Macaca fascicularis: one gene and its partners. The protein of the gene in region 2 purifies or fractionates together with the protein of the main gene of each other region. This does not show direct contact. Links are inferred from orthologs where the notes say so. Each region holds a gene or a part of one and is shown on either strand. Other genes may lie near its edges.

What was found.
Region 1: the proteins of POMK (region 2) and CANX purify together in Homo sapiens (affinity purification with mass spectrometry; 3 studies listed by BioGRID and IntAct, counting the BioPlex papers as one, with this or other methods). This does not show direct contact. The link is inferred for Macaca fascicularis from reciprocal best matches to the Homo sapiens genes POMK and CANX.
Region 3: the proteins of POMK (region 2) and GHITM purify together in Homo sapiens (affinity purification with mass spectrometry; 3 studies listed by BioGRID and IntAct, counting the BioPlex papers as one, with this or other methods). This does not show direct contact. The link is inferred for Macaca fascicularis from reciprocal best matches to the Homo sapiens genes POMK and GHITM.

What each region holds. Positions count from the first base shown.
Region 1 is NC_088380.1:186,592,497-186,596,143, forward strand, and holds part of CANX (calnexin), read left to right. Parts: intron 1-1,186; coding exon 1,187-1,300; intron 1,301-2,506; coding exon 2,507-2,663; intron 2,664-3,647. UniProt on the Homo sapiens protein: Calcium-binding protein that interacts with newly synthesized monoglucosylated glycoproteins in the endoplasmic reticulum. It may act in assisting protein assembly and/or in the retention within the ER of unassembled protein subunits.
Region 2 is NC_088382.1:46,639,292-46,643,038, reverse strand, and holds the start of POMK (protein O-mannose kinase), read right to left. Parts: upstream 2,747-3,747; 5' UTR 2,696-2,746; intron 1-2,695. UniProt on the Homo sapiens protein: Protein O-mannose kinase that specifically mediates phosphorylation at the 6-position of an O-mannose of the trisaccharide (N-acetylgalactosamine (GalNAc)-beta-1,3-N-acetylglucosamine (GlcNAc)-beta-1,4-mannose) to generate phosphorylated O-mannosyl trisaccharide (N-acetylgalactosamine-beta-1,3-N-acetylglucosamine-beta-1,4-(phosphate-6-)mannose).
Region 3 is NC_088383.1:62,535,614-62,539,360, forward strand, and holds the start of GHITM (growth hormone-inducible transmembrane protein), read right to left. Parts: upstream 2,592-3,747; 5' UTR 2,258-2,591; exon of another isoform or gene 851-2,257; 5' UTR 775-850; intron 646-774; 5' UTR 607-645; coding exon 478-606; intron 1-477. UniProt on the Homo sapiens protein: Plays an important role in maintenance of mitochondrial morphology and in mediating either calcium or potassium/proton antiport. Mediates proton-dependent calcium efflux from mitochondrion.

The DNA of each region.
Region 1 (3,647 bases), on a different chromosome or scaffold from region 2:
CTCCCAGAGGGCTGGGATTACAGGCATGTGCCACCGTGCCTGGCTATGTATGTTTTTTCTTTTTTGTTTTGAGACGGAGTTTCGCTCTTGTTGCCCAGGCTGGAGTGCAATGGTGCGATCTCAGCTCACCGCAACCTCTGCCTCCCAGTTTCCAGTGATTCTCCTGCCTCAGCCTCCTGAGTAGCTGGGATTACAGGCATGTGCCACCACACCTGGCTAGTTTTGTATTTTTAGTAGAGATGGGGTTTCTCCATGTTGGTCAGGCTGGTCTCAAACTCTGGACCTCAGGTGATCTGCCCACCTTGGCCTCCCAAAGTGCTGGGATTACAGGCATGAGCCACTGCACCTGACCTAATTTTTGTGTTTTTTAGTAGAGACAGGGTTTCATCATATTGTTCAGGCTGGTCTCGAACTCCTGTCCTCAGGTGATCCGCCCGCCTTGGCCTCCCAAAGTGCTGGGATTACAGGTGTGAGCCACCACACCTGGCCTTGTGTATTTTTTTACTAGAGACTGTGTTTCACCTTGTTGCCCAGGTTGGTGTGGCCTCAAGTGATGCTCCTGCCTTGGCCTCCCAAAGTGCTGAGATTACAGGCATGAGCTACTCTGCCTTGCTATAGATATATATTTTCATTTCTCTTGGGTAGATGTACCTAAAAGTGGAATTGCTGGGTCATGTGGTAACTATTTAACTTTTTGAGAAACTGCCAAACCGTTTTCCAAGTCAGCGGTACCATTTTACTTTCCCACCAGCAGTGTATGAGGGTTTCAGTTTCTCTACATTCTCTCCAACATTTGTTTTCATGAGTCTTTTTTATTATAGCCATCTTGGTACTAAGTGGTATCGTGGTTTTGATTTGCATTTCCCTGATGGCTAATGATGTTAAGCATCTTTTCATATGCTTATTATATGTTTGTATTGTATATTTATACATTCGTATGTCTTCTTTGGAGAAATGTCTATTAAAATCATTTGCCCATTTTTAAATTGGGTTGTCTTCATATTATTGAGTTGTAAAGAGTTATTTTACTAGACCCTTAGCAGACATGATTTACAAGAATTTTCTAAGAAGAATTATTTAAAATTTTGCGATTAAAACCAAAATATTTTTAGAATACTCTGTTCTGATCCACAAAGTGGTACTGTACTGTGACCAGCATTGGCACAATTTTTCTTTTATGTTTAAGGGATGAAGATGCCCCTGCTAAGATTCCAGATGAAGAGGCCACAAAACCTGAAGGCTGGTTAGATGATGAGCCCGAGTATGTACCTGATCCAGACGCAGAGAAACCTGAGGATTGGTAAGAACTTCAGTTAACTTTTTTAATTATGTAGGTTGTTTTGTTTGTTTGTTTGTTTGTTTTTGTTTTTTTTTTTTTGAGACGGAGTCTTGCTCTGTAGCCCGGGCTGGAGTGCAGTGGCCGGATCTCAGCTCACTGCAAGCTCCGCCTCCCGGGTTTAGGCCATTCTCCTGCCTCAGCCTCCGGAGTAGCTGGGACTACAGGCGCCCGCCACCTCGCCCGGCTAGTTTTTTTTTTTTTTTTTTTTTTGTATTTTTAGTAGAGACGGGGTTTCACGGTGTTAGCCAGGATGGTCTCGATCTCCTGACCTCGTGATCCGCCCGTCTCGGCCTCCCAAAGTGCTGGGATTACAGGCTTGAGCCACCGCGCCCGGCCTGTTTGTTTTTTTGAGATGGAGTCTCACTCTATCTCCCAGGCTGGAGTTCAGTGGCAGTTTCAGCTCATTGCAACCTTCATCTCCTGGGTTCAAGCGATTCTCCTGTATCAGCCTTGCGAGTAGCTGGGATTACAGGTGTGTGTCACCACACCTGGGAAATTTTTGTATTTTTTGTATTTTTAGTAGAGGCGGGCTTTAACCATGTTGGCCATGCTGATCTTAAAAAGTCCTGACCTCGGAGATCGAGACCATCCTGGCTAACACAATGAAACCCCGTCTCCACTAAAAAAAAATACAAAAAAATTAGCCGGGCGTGGTGGCGGCGCCTGTAGTCCCAGCTACTCGGGAGGCTGAGGCAGGAGAATGGCGGGAACCCGGGAGGCGGAGCTTGCAGTGAGCCGAGATCGCGCCACTGCACTCCAGCCTGGGCGACAGAGCGAGACTCCGCCTCAAAAAAAAAAAAAAAAAAAAAAAAAGTCCTGACCTCAAGTGATCTGCCTGCCTTGGCCTCCCAAAGTGCTGGGATTACAGGCGTGAGCCACCACACCCAGCATAAGTTACCTGTTTTTATGGAAGTCAAACTTAATACTTAAATATAGCCAAGTTCCCCAATTTCAGGGTAGAATTTGACAATTTTAATTATATTTTCTTCTTTTTTAAAAAATATATTTTTCCTGAAAAACTGTTATTACTGGAAAAACAGAAACAGGAGAAGCTGGTCTGATACTGTGAAAACATTTCAGCAGGATCTTGGCAGCCCTGGGCCAGCCAGCTGTTCATAGTCCTGCATCACAGAACCTGTTTATAATTTGTTGTTTGTACCTCCATAGGGATGAAGACATGGATGGAGAATGGGAGGCTCCTCAGATTGCCAACCCTAAATGCGAGTCAGCCCCTGGATGTGGTGTCTGGCAGCGACCTATGATTGACAACCCCAATTATAAAGGCAAATGGAAGCCTCCTATGATCGACAATCCCAGTTACCAGGTTTGTGCCTCTTGATGGTTGAGTTGCTTTCATTGATCTGTTTGTATTCAGATAGAAGTTTTATCTAGAGTCAGGCTGCCAGGTTGGTCATTATGGTTGTTCATTATATTCAAGCTATTGAATTAAAAGCAGAAGGTAGACATCCTAAGTTGAAAGAGAGCTTATTGGGTGAGGTGTTGCAAAGATAAACCTAGAAACTGGAGTGAATAACTTTATGTAACTTTTTTTTTTTCTTTTTTTTTTCTTTTTTTTTTTTGAGACGGAGTCTCGCTCTGTCGCCCAGGCTGGAGTGCAGTGGCGCGATCTCGGCTCACTGCAAGGGCGCGATCTCGGCTCACTGCAAGCTCCGCCTCCCGGGTTCACGCCATTCTCGTGCCTCAGCCTCCCGAGTAGCTGGGACTACAGGCGCCCACAACCGCGCCCGGCTAATTTTTTGTATTTTTAGTAGAGACGGGGTTTCACCGTGGTCTCGATCTCCTGACCTTGTGATCCGCCCGCCTTGGCCTCCCAAAGTGCTGGGATTACAGGCGTGAGCCACCGCGCCCGGCCCTTTTCTTTTTTTTTGAGACGGAATTTCGCTCTTCTACCCAGGCTGGAGGGCAGTGGCGTGATCTCGGCTCACTGTAACCTCTGCTTTCCAGTTTCAAGCAGTTCTCTTGCCTCAGACTCCCTAGTAGCTGAGATTCCAGGCGCCTGCCACCACGCCTAGCTAATTTTTGTATTTTTAGTAGAGACGGGGTTTCACCATGTTGGCCAGGCTGGGCTCAAACTCCTGACCTCGCGATCCCCCACCTCAGCCTCCTAAAATGCTGAGATTACAGGCATGAGCCACCGTACCCGGTCAACTTCCTTTTCTTTGAGACTGAGTCTCACTCTAGCGCCCAGGCTAGAGTGCAATGGTGCAATCTCGGCACACTGCCACCTCCACCTTGGGTTCAAGCGATTCTCCTGCCTCAGCCTCCTGAGTAGCTGGGAGCACAGGCG
Region 2 (3,747 bases):
TTCAACAGCCCCTGACTCGGCCCACAGGATCAAGTCCAAACTCTTAGGTGGCCTCCTGAAATCTAGCCCCTATCTGCTTCCCTAAACCCTCCCTGCACCCCACTCTCTGGCGCCTGAGCTTTCCTCAGTCCTCAAAGGCTCCCTTTCTGGGATACCCAGGCCCCGGCCTCCTCTAAATTCTAAGCACCAAGAGGCCTGCCTGTCTGTCCTGTTCACCAGTGCACCCCCGTGCCTGGCACACAGTGGGTACTCAGCAAAGACACACGACTGCCTGGTCACTCTGCGCCTCTCCCTCTTCATGGCCTCAGCCATGAAGGCTGCTTTCCCTCTCCTGTGTTCACCCCACCGCATCCGCTCTTCCTCTCCTCACAGCTCCCATTCTCTGAGGCCCCTCATCTGCCACCTCCTTCTTCAATCCAAGTTTCCCAGCTCAAACCCTGTGGTAAATCCTTTCAACCCTCCAACCCTCCTTACCCCTAACCTCCCACCAATCCTTCCTTGCCACTAGGGGTGGATTCAGATTTTATGGGGCCTGAAGCTTATATAAGTTGGGACGACGAGTGGTAATTCTTTAAGAATACACAGTTATGAATGTAAAAGTGCTGAGCCCCTTGCCAGAGTTTTGGAAGGTATTTGAGCAAGTGAAGAGACTAGAAGCTTCATCATAAACCCAGATCTGCTTATCATTCACCAGCCCCATGTAACTTGCCCTGTCCACTTTTTCATTTCCACTCAAAGGCTGCCAACATCAGCTACAAAACTCTGTGGGACTCTACAAATGCATATTTTCTAATCTGTGTTGGACCCTCCGCATTACTAAGAAAACCTTTAATGCATTTCTTGCTGAATACAAATTTTATATGCCCCATTAACCTTTTATGTATCCCTAAGTCCTCACATTCACTTCTGAATCCTCTCTCAGCAAAAAGAAAAAACACCAAAACAAAATAAAAAAAAAACTCAAAAATTCATTTGACTTTTATACAGTGTCAACTTCACACCAATTCTGTGAAGTGGATATAATTGTTGTTATTTCCATTTCACAGATAAGACAACTGAGTCAGAGGTGAAGTAATATGTCTAAGGTCACTATACACAGAGGAGCCAAGTTTTCTGGACTCAAGCCCATTTTTCCCCTAAATACCACAATGCTCAGGAGTTGAACTAAATCAAACCCAGTGTGGTCACCTAGGGACTGGTCTAGGGGACCCTGGGACTGCCTGTTTCTTAAAGAAGACTTCAGCCCACCTCAGCCCCGATTTGCTTTTTTGTTTCAGAGCATATTCTGGAGTAGGCCGCCCAGAGCATAGCATGAGGCTGTGTGGCTGAAGGAACTTTCGTGTCCAGAAATAAGCAAAAACCGCTGAAATTTACTGGTCCTGAAAACAGCCTGCACATTAAGGAATAAAGATGGTGGGGCAGGTTGGGCAGGAGAAATTCAGGCACGATTGATATACAAAGCATTTCTGACACTGATAGGCAGGCTTATTGATAGAGAAAAGCTTGGCTTAAAGAAAAAAGAAAAGGGACAAAACTAGTTTTTACCGACTTACAAGGTATTTTCTACAACTAGGGAAGACACAGAGTAGTGTCATCCAATGCAATTTACAGTAGAATTCCATTGTGCCAATAAAGCACAAGGTACATTAGAAGGATTATTTTAAATATTCTTAATGCTTATTTAGCCTTAGGGTCCTACAGTAAAGGCAAAGGGTGACAAAGACAAGATTATGCAACAAAAGAGTGAAATTTTGCTTTCTAAAAAAAGAGAAGAATATGATTACACTTAACACCTCCTGGCAACAATGATCTCGTGCAGAATAAACACCCAAAGGCAAAGAGCCGAGACAGAGTCCTAGGTCCTTTCTGGTTTTTTTGTTTTTCGTTTTTTGTTTCGGTTTGGTTTGGTTTTTGTTTTTTTTAAACAAAGACAGCCTCTGCCGGACCCAGTAGCTCACGCCTGTAATCCAAGCACTTTGGGAGGCCGAGGTGGGCGGATCACCTGAGGTCAGGCGTTCGAGACCAGCCTGACCAACATGGTGATACTCCGTCTATACTAAAAATACAAAAATTAGTTGGGCGTGGTGGCGGACGCCTTGTGATCCCAGGAGCCAAGACCGCGCCACCGCACTCCATTCTGGGCGACAGAGCGAGACTCCGTCTCAAATAATAATAATAATGATAATAAAGTAATAATAATAGAAACAGTCTCTCACTGTGTCCCCCAGGCTGGAGTGCAGTAGCGCGATTTCGGCTCACTGAAACCTCCGCCCCCGCCGGGTTCAAGCGATTCTCCCGCCTCAGCCTCCCGAGTAGTTGAGACTACAGGCGGCGCCACCGCGCCCGGCTAAATTTTTTTTTACAGAGACAAGAGTTCCGCCATGTTGCTCAGGCTGCTCTCGCCTGAGCTCACGCGATCCTCCCGCCTCCGCCTCCCAAAGCGCTGGGGTTACAGACTGGAGCCACCTCGCCTGGCCCTTCTCGGGTCCTTTAACTTCCCGCTACCGCGCAGGGCTGGACGCGGAGGCGGGGGCTGGGCGCGGTGGACCCGGCCGCCCAGGCCAAGCGCAGCCTCCCAGGGAGCCTCCGCACAGGCGGCCGGCGCTGCGGGCCGGGCCACGTACAGGCCCCTCGAGAAACCCAGCTACACGCCCCCTCACCGCTTCGCCCTCTCGCCCCTCGCCCCAGGACCTACCTGCAGCCCAAGCTTCTGCGCCCCCTGCTATACCCCAGGACAGCACGCACTGGGCCTACTGCGCTTGCGCGTTCAGAAGCGCGTCCTGGGCGGGCGGGCGTGACGCTGCTGCCCCCTGGCGTCCTCCTCAGGCCGCGCACTGAAGCCAGAGCTAACGCTTCGGCGGTACCAGCGCGCACCTACCCAGTCTCCCTCTCTGGCTTCTGCTTCCCGAACTTGAGAGAACGATTTTGCATTGACCCACTATTGCTTCAGCCTGGAGCCAGGCCCATGCAGAGCAGCTGTCAGATCTAGACGCACTGCCAGGCCTTCCAAAGCGTATTTCTCAGATCCGCGGCATCTGCAGGGACCTTGCTGGAAAGGCTGATTCCCCACTCCGGCCCATACCCACCACTCGCGGACCCAGATGCCTGAAGTTGGACAATCACTCTGTAAAAGAAACTGTGGGGCTTAGCCCAGACACAGTAAAGCTGAGCTGCACACATCAAGTGCAGCAGACAAGACCTTGGCAAGCCTCCGCGGAGGGGCACGACTGGGCAAAGGCGGGGAAGTCCGTCGGGGCCGGCCTGGAGCCCCGCCGGGAGCCCAACACGCACTCGGGCACTCGCCCCGGGGAACCTAGAGGGAGGCTTGCAGCGTCGAAGTCAGGCTGGGGTCATGAAAAGTCTGGGTTGTGTACATTGGAAGCGTTAGCTGCTTCTACACTGACACACTGAGAAAGTCCAGAATTAAGAAACTAACATGGTGTGGGTTAAAAAAAAAACTGAGTCTGTACTAGCGATCCAAACAGTATTAAAATAACTACCAGAGGCCGGGCGCGGTGGCTCAAGCCTGTAATCCCAGCACTTTGGGAGGCCGAGACGGGTGGATCACGAGGTCAGGAGATCGAGACCATCCTGGTGAACATGGTGAAACCCCGTCTCTACTAAAAAATACAAAAAACTAGCCAGGCGAGGTGGCGGCGCCTGTAGTCCCAGCTACTCGGGAGGCTGAGGCAGGAGAATGGCGTAAACCCGGGAGGCGGAGCTTGCAGTGAGCTGAGATCCGGCCAC
Region 3 (3,747 bases), on a different chromosome or scaffold from region 2:
TCTTTTCTCAAGTCTCTCGTTCCACCTAACGAGAAATGCCCACAGGTGTGGAGGGGTAGGCCATCCCTTCATCTAATCTGACAGAGATTATCAATCTAAATAAGAGATAATTTCTTCAATAATTTATTAAGCTATTGGCCAACTGGTAATATCCCTGGGTTCTTAAACTTCTGACTATGTGCTCCAGGATCTCCGTTACACCACATAACTCTCAATCCCTCACAATGTACTCTAAATTTTCTAAATGAGAAACTCCAGAAGCTGTAAGCAAAAGCAAAGTTACAGAAATTCATTTTCTTTTTCATATGGGATAAGGAGGGACCAGAATGATACAAACTAATGGGGAGAAAGAGCTGACAGGGATATTATCAGGGCCAATTGACGTATAACACACTAAAGGCAGCAGCCACACTCTGCCAAAAAGAAAGGGCACAAATGGAAAAAGCAGCAATATAAAAAAATTCAGATTATCTTTACCCTGCTGGGTGTTAACAGCCATTGATTCTTCGTGATGGAATTCTTCACAACAGGGGAGGCCTTGGTGAAAGCTGGGTGGAAAACCCTAGAAGGTAGTGTCCGGAGACACACAAGCCTTGCAGCCAACATGGTGGTGGTGCACCAGGTCTACCAAGCAGATCTGAAATGCTAGTAAAAAAAGGCAAAAACAACAAAAAGAACATAAACAAAACAATCCACTAACCAATAAAGAGAAGGACATATGAGAGTCAGAGTCAAGAAGGAACAATTTTTTAGTAGAAAAGGAAATACAGCCACCTTTTTAATTTTCAGCGATGAATTCTTTGCCCAATCATCCCTTGGTAATGCAAGAAACCCATCCCAGAGAACACAGCTGAGGATGGAGGAACAAATTAGGTTTAAGTCCCAGTTTGACCAATAATAAAATAGATGATTTCAAAAATTATGTGTTAACACAGAATGGCTGTTAACTGGATGTGATTACACCCGGGTCTATGATGGCTTTTACAAATGTAGTTTTGGCTTAAGATTCATACCAGTATCCAGTGGGAAAATTTAAAAGAATCTACATAACGTTTGGTCAGAGAAATAGTGTCATCTAAAGAGACATGAATAGCTCTTCTGCATTACAAAGCTAAAAGATATTAAAAGAAGCCAACTATATGAATTTCAGCTAATCATACCAAATAATACTTTCCTTCAACATAAGATATAAAAATATTCTAAGTTAACCTATTCTATATGTCCTACTATAATGCGTAAAGGACATTTAGTCTTTCAAAGTAAAATCGGTTACCAACTAGGTTTCCCTTACATTAGACTCCCTCAATGGTGTCTTCAAAAGAAAAGCATGCTAAAAACTGGATTATCTTAGCTCCAGGGCACATTATACTAGATGGGTGGTCAACCAGAAGTCAGCGGATAGTGTTTCTGTAATGCTACAGTGAGGTGACTATGATAGGTCAGAATGAAATGACAAGTGCAAACCAACTGGGGCTACCAGCACATCTCCGCCAATGATTTGTAGTGAATTTCAGGCAAGTGATATTCTTCTGGGTCCATTTCCCCATCTGTAACATAACGATTCCCAGTGTTCAGACTACAGCGTTGACCCTTGGACTACCTGCTTGAAAGTGACGCGGACGCATCTTAAAATGTAGGCTCCTGCGTCTTTCTTTGCTCCTAATGATTCTAGCTCTAGGAATAGGACCAAGGATATGTGTTTTAACGAACACTCCAAAAGCTAAGAACTATTGTTTTAAGATACCCGAGCGTCCTCCGAGCTCTGCAACTGAACTGAAGGATCTTAATACTCGGCACCTGGCCTTTGGGAAAACACCCAGCGCTTTTGGAACTTTCGTGCCATTACATCATCTCAACCTATGGCTGTCCTGTATCTTTCTCAGTACTCAGTCCACTGGGGGGGCCGAAGAGGTCCAGCTCAGAGTGACCTCCATGTGGCCTAACAGCACAGAGTGGGAATTCCACTTCTGACACGTTAGAATTGACCTTGTGAGGGGTGTGGATCTCTAAGACTCAGATGTCTGTCTTTGCTACAAAATGGGGAAAATACTACCGACCCTAATCCAAGGGCTTATGCCTCCGTGAGCATTGGATGAGTTTGGGTGCCTGGTCCCCGAGAAAGTTCACCCAGCCCGCTAGATTCGGATGAGAACCTGGCAGCAAACCTCCACGTCAACCCACAACACCTCTGTCCGCGCCCCAGGTGCCGCTACCAGCGCAGCGGCTGTACGGCCTGGCCGCAAGGATGACTCAGCACCTTGTTGCCCCGCGACAGAAGCACAGCTAGAATAGCCCTTGCGCGCCTGAGCAGGACCTTGTGGCCGCCGCCCTCTCCACTGGGTCACCCACAGGACTGCGACCCCAACGCGCAGGCCGGCCCTGACGCACCCAGCAGCACCGCTGCTACCAGCCCTTCCCTCCGCACCCAGCGGTCCCGTGAGGGCGGCTGTCAGGAGCACCGGGGATCCCGGGCGCCCGCCAGCCAGCCGGAGCATTACCTTGGTCCCCAGTCACCTTCGCTGCGTAGTTTCCCTTCCGGGCTCCCAGCACGCTCCTTACGGTCTGAAAGCGCACAGTTCCGCCAGCGCACTGCATGACGCAACATCGAGAGGAGGTAAATAGTACGAGTAGCCAATCACTGGCAGGCCTCTGTCGGAAACGCGGGCACAGTGGGGGAGGAGGGGTTCCGGGTTACGAGGCGGGGTTCCAAATTGGTGGGGCGGGGCCAGTTGAGGATTGTTGCAGGGAACGTCATAATCAGCGTCCATTTTGCGTGTGGGCATGGGAGTCGTCTGGGCCATCTTTGTTCTGGGCAGCGGAGGTCTCTTTTGCTTTTGTTTTAGCCTTTTCACTCGCCGCAGATATAAGAATTATGTAAAAATTGAAAGAAAGTAATGTTAGAGTTAAAAATTATTCCGTTTGGCGGATGAGGTCAGGAGATCGAGACCATCCTGGCTAACCCCTTGAAACCCTGTCTCTACTAAAAAATATATAAAAAAAAAAAAACTAGCCGGGCGAGGTGGCGGGCGCCTGCAGTCCCAGCTACTCGGGAGGCTGAGGCAGGAGAATGGCGTAAACCTGGGAGGCGGAGCTTGCAGTGAGCTGAGATCCGGCCACTGCACTCCAGCCTGGGTGACAGAGCGAGACTCCGTCTGTAATCCCAGCATTTTGGGAGGCCGAGACGGGCGGATCACGAGGTCAGGAGATCGAGACCATCCTGGCTAACACGGTGAAACCCCGTCTCTACTAAAAAAATACAAAAAACTAGCCCGGCGAGGTGGTGGGCGCCTGTAGTCCCAGCTACTCGGGAGGCTGAGGCAGGAGAATGGCGTGAACCCGGGAGGCGGAGCTTGCAGTGACCTGAGATCCGGCCACTGCACTCCAGCCTGGGCGACAGAGCGAGACTCCGTCTCAAAAAAAAAAAAAAAAAAAAAATTATTCCGTTTATTCCGTTCCTTTCTATTTGAAGGACTTTTTGTCCCTTAATTTATTGTGAGATAAATATGGTTCCAAATGTGACTGCTTCTGAGCGGAGTCATCCGGTTTCTGGGGTCTCACGCAAAAGGTTAGATCGTGAAATCCAGAAAAGATTTTTTTCTAGATGGTTTTTTCATTGCTTTTTTACTTTCCCGTGTACACTTTCAAGTTTCACCCTAAACCTGTGTAATAGGCCTGATGACAGCTGCCTGTGCCTGGCACCCAGGGTTGCTCTGAGGACTAAGATGTTTCCATTGCGTGTAATTTGAT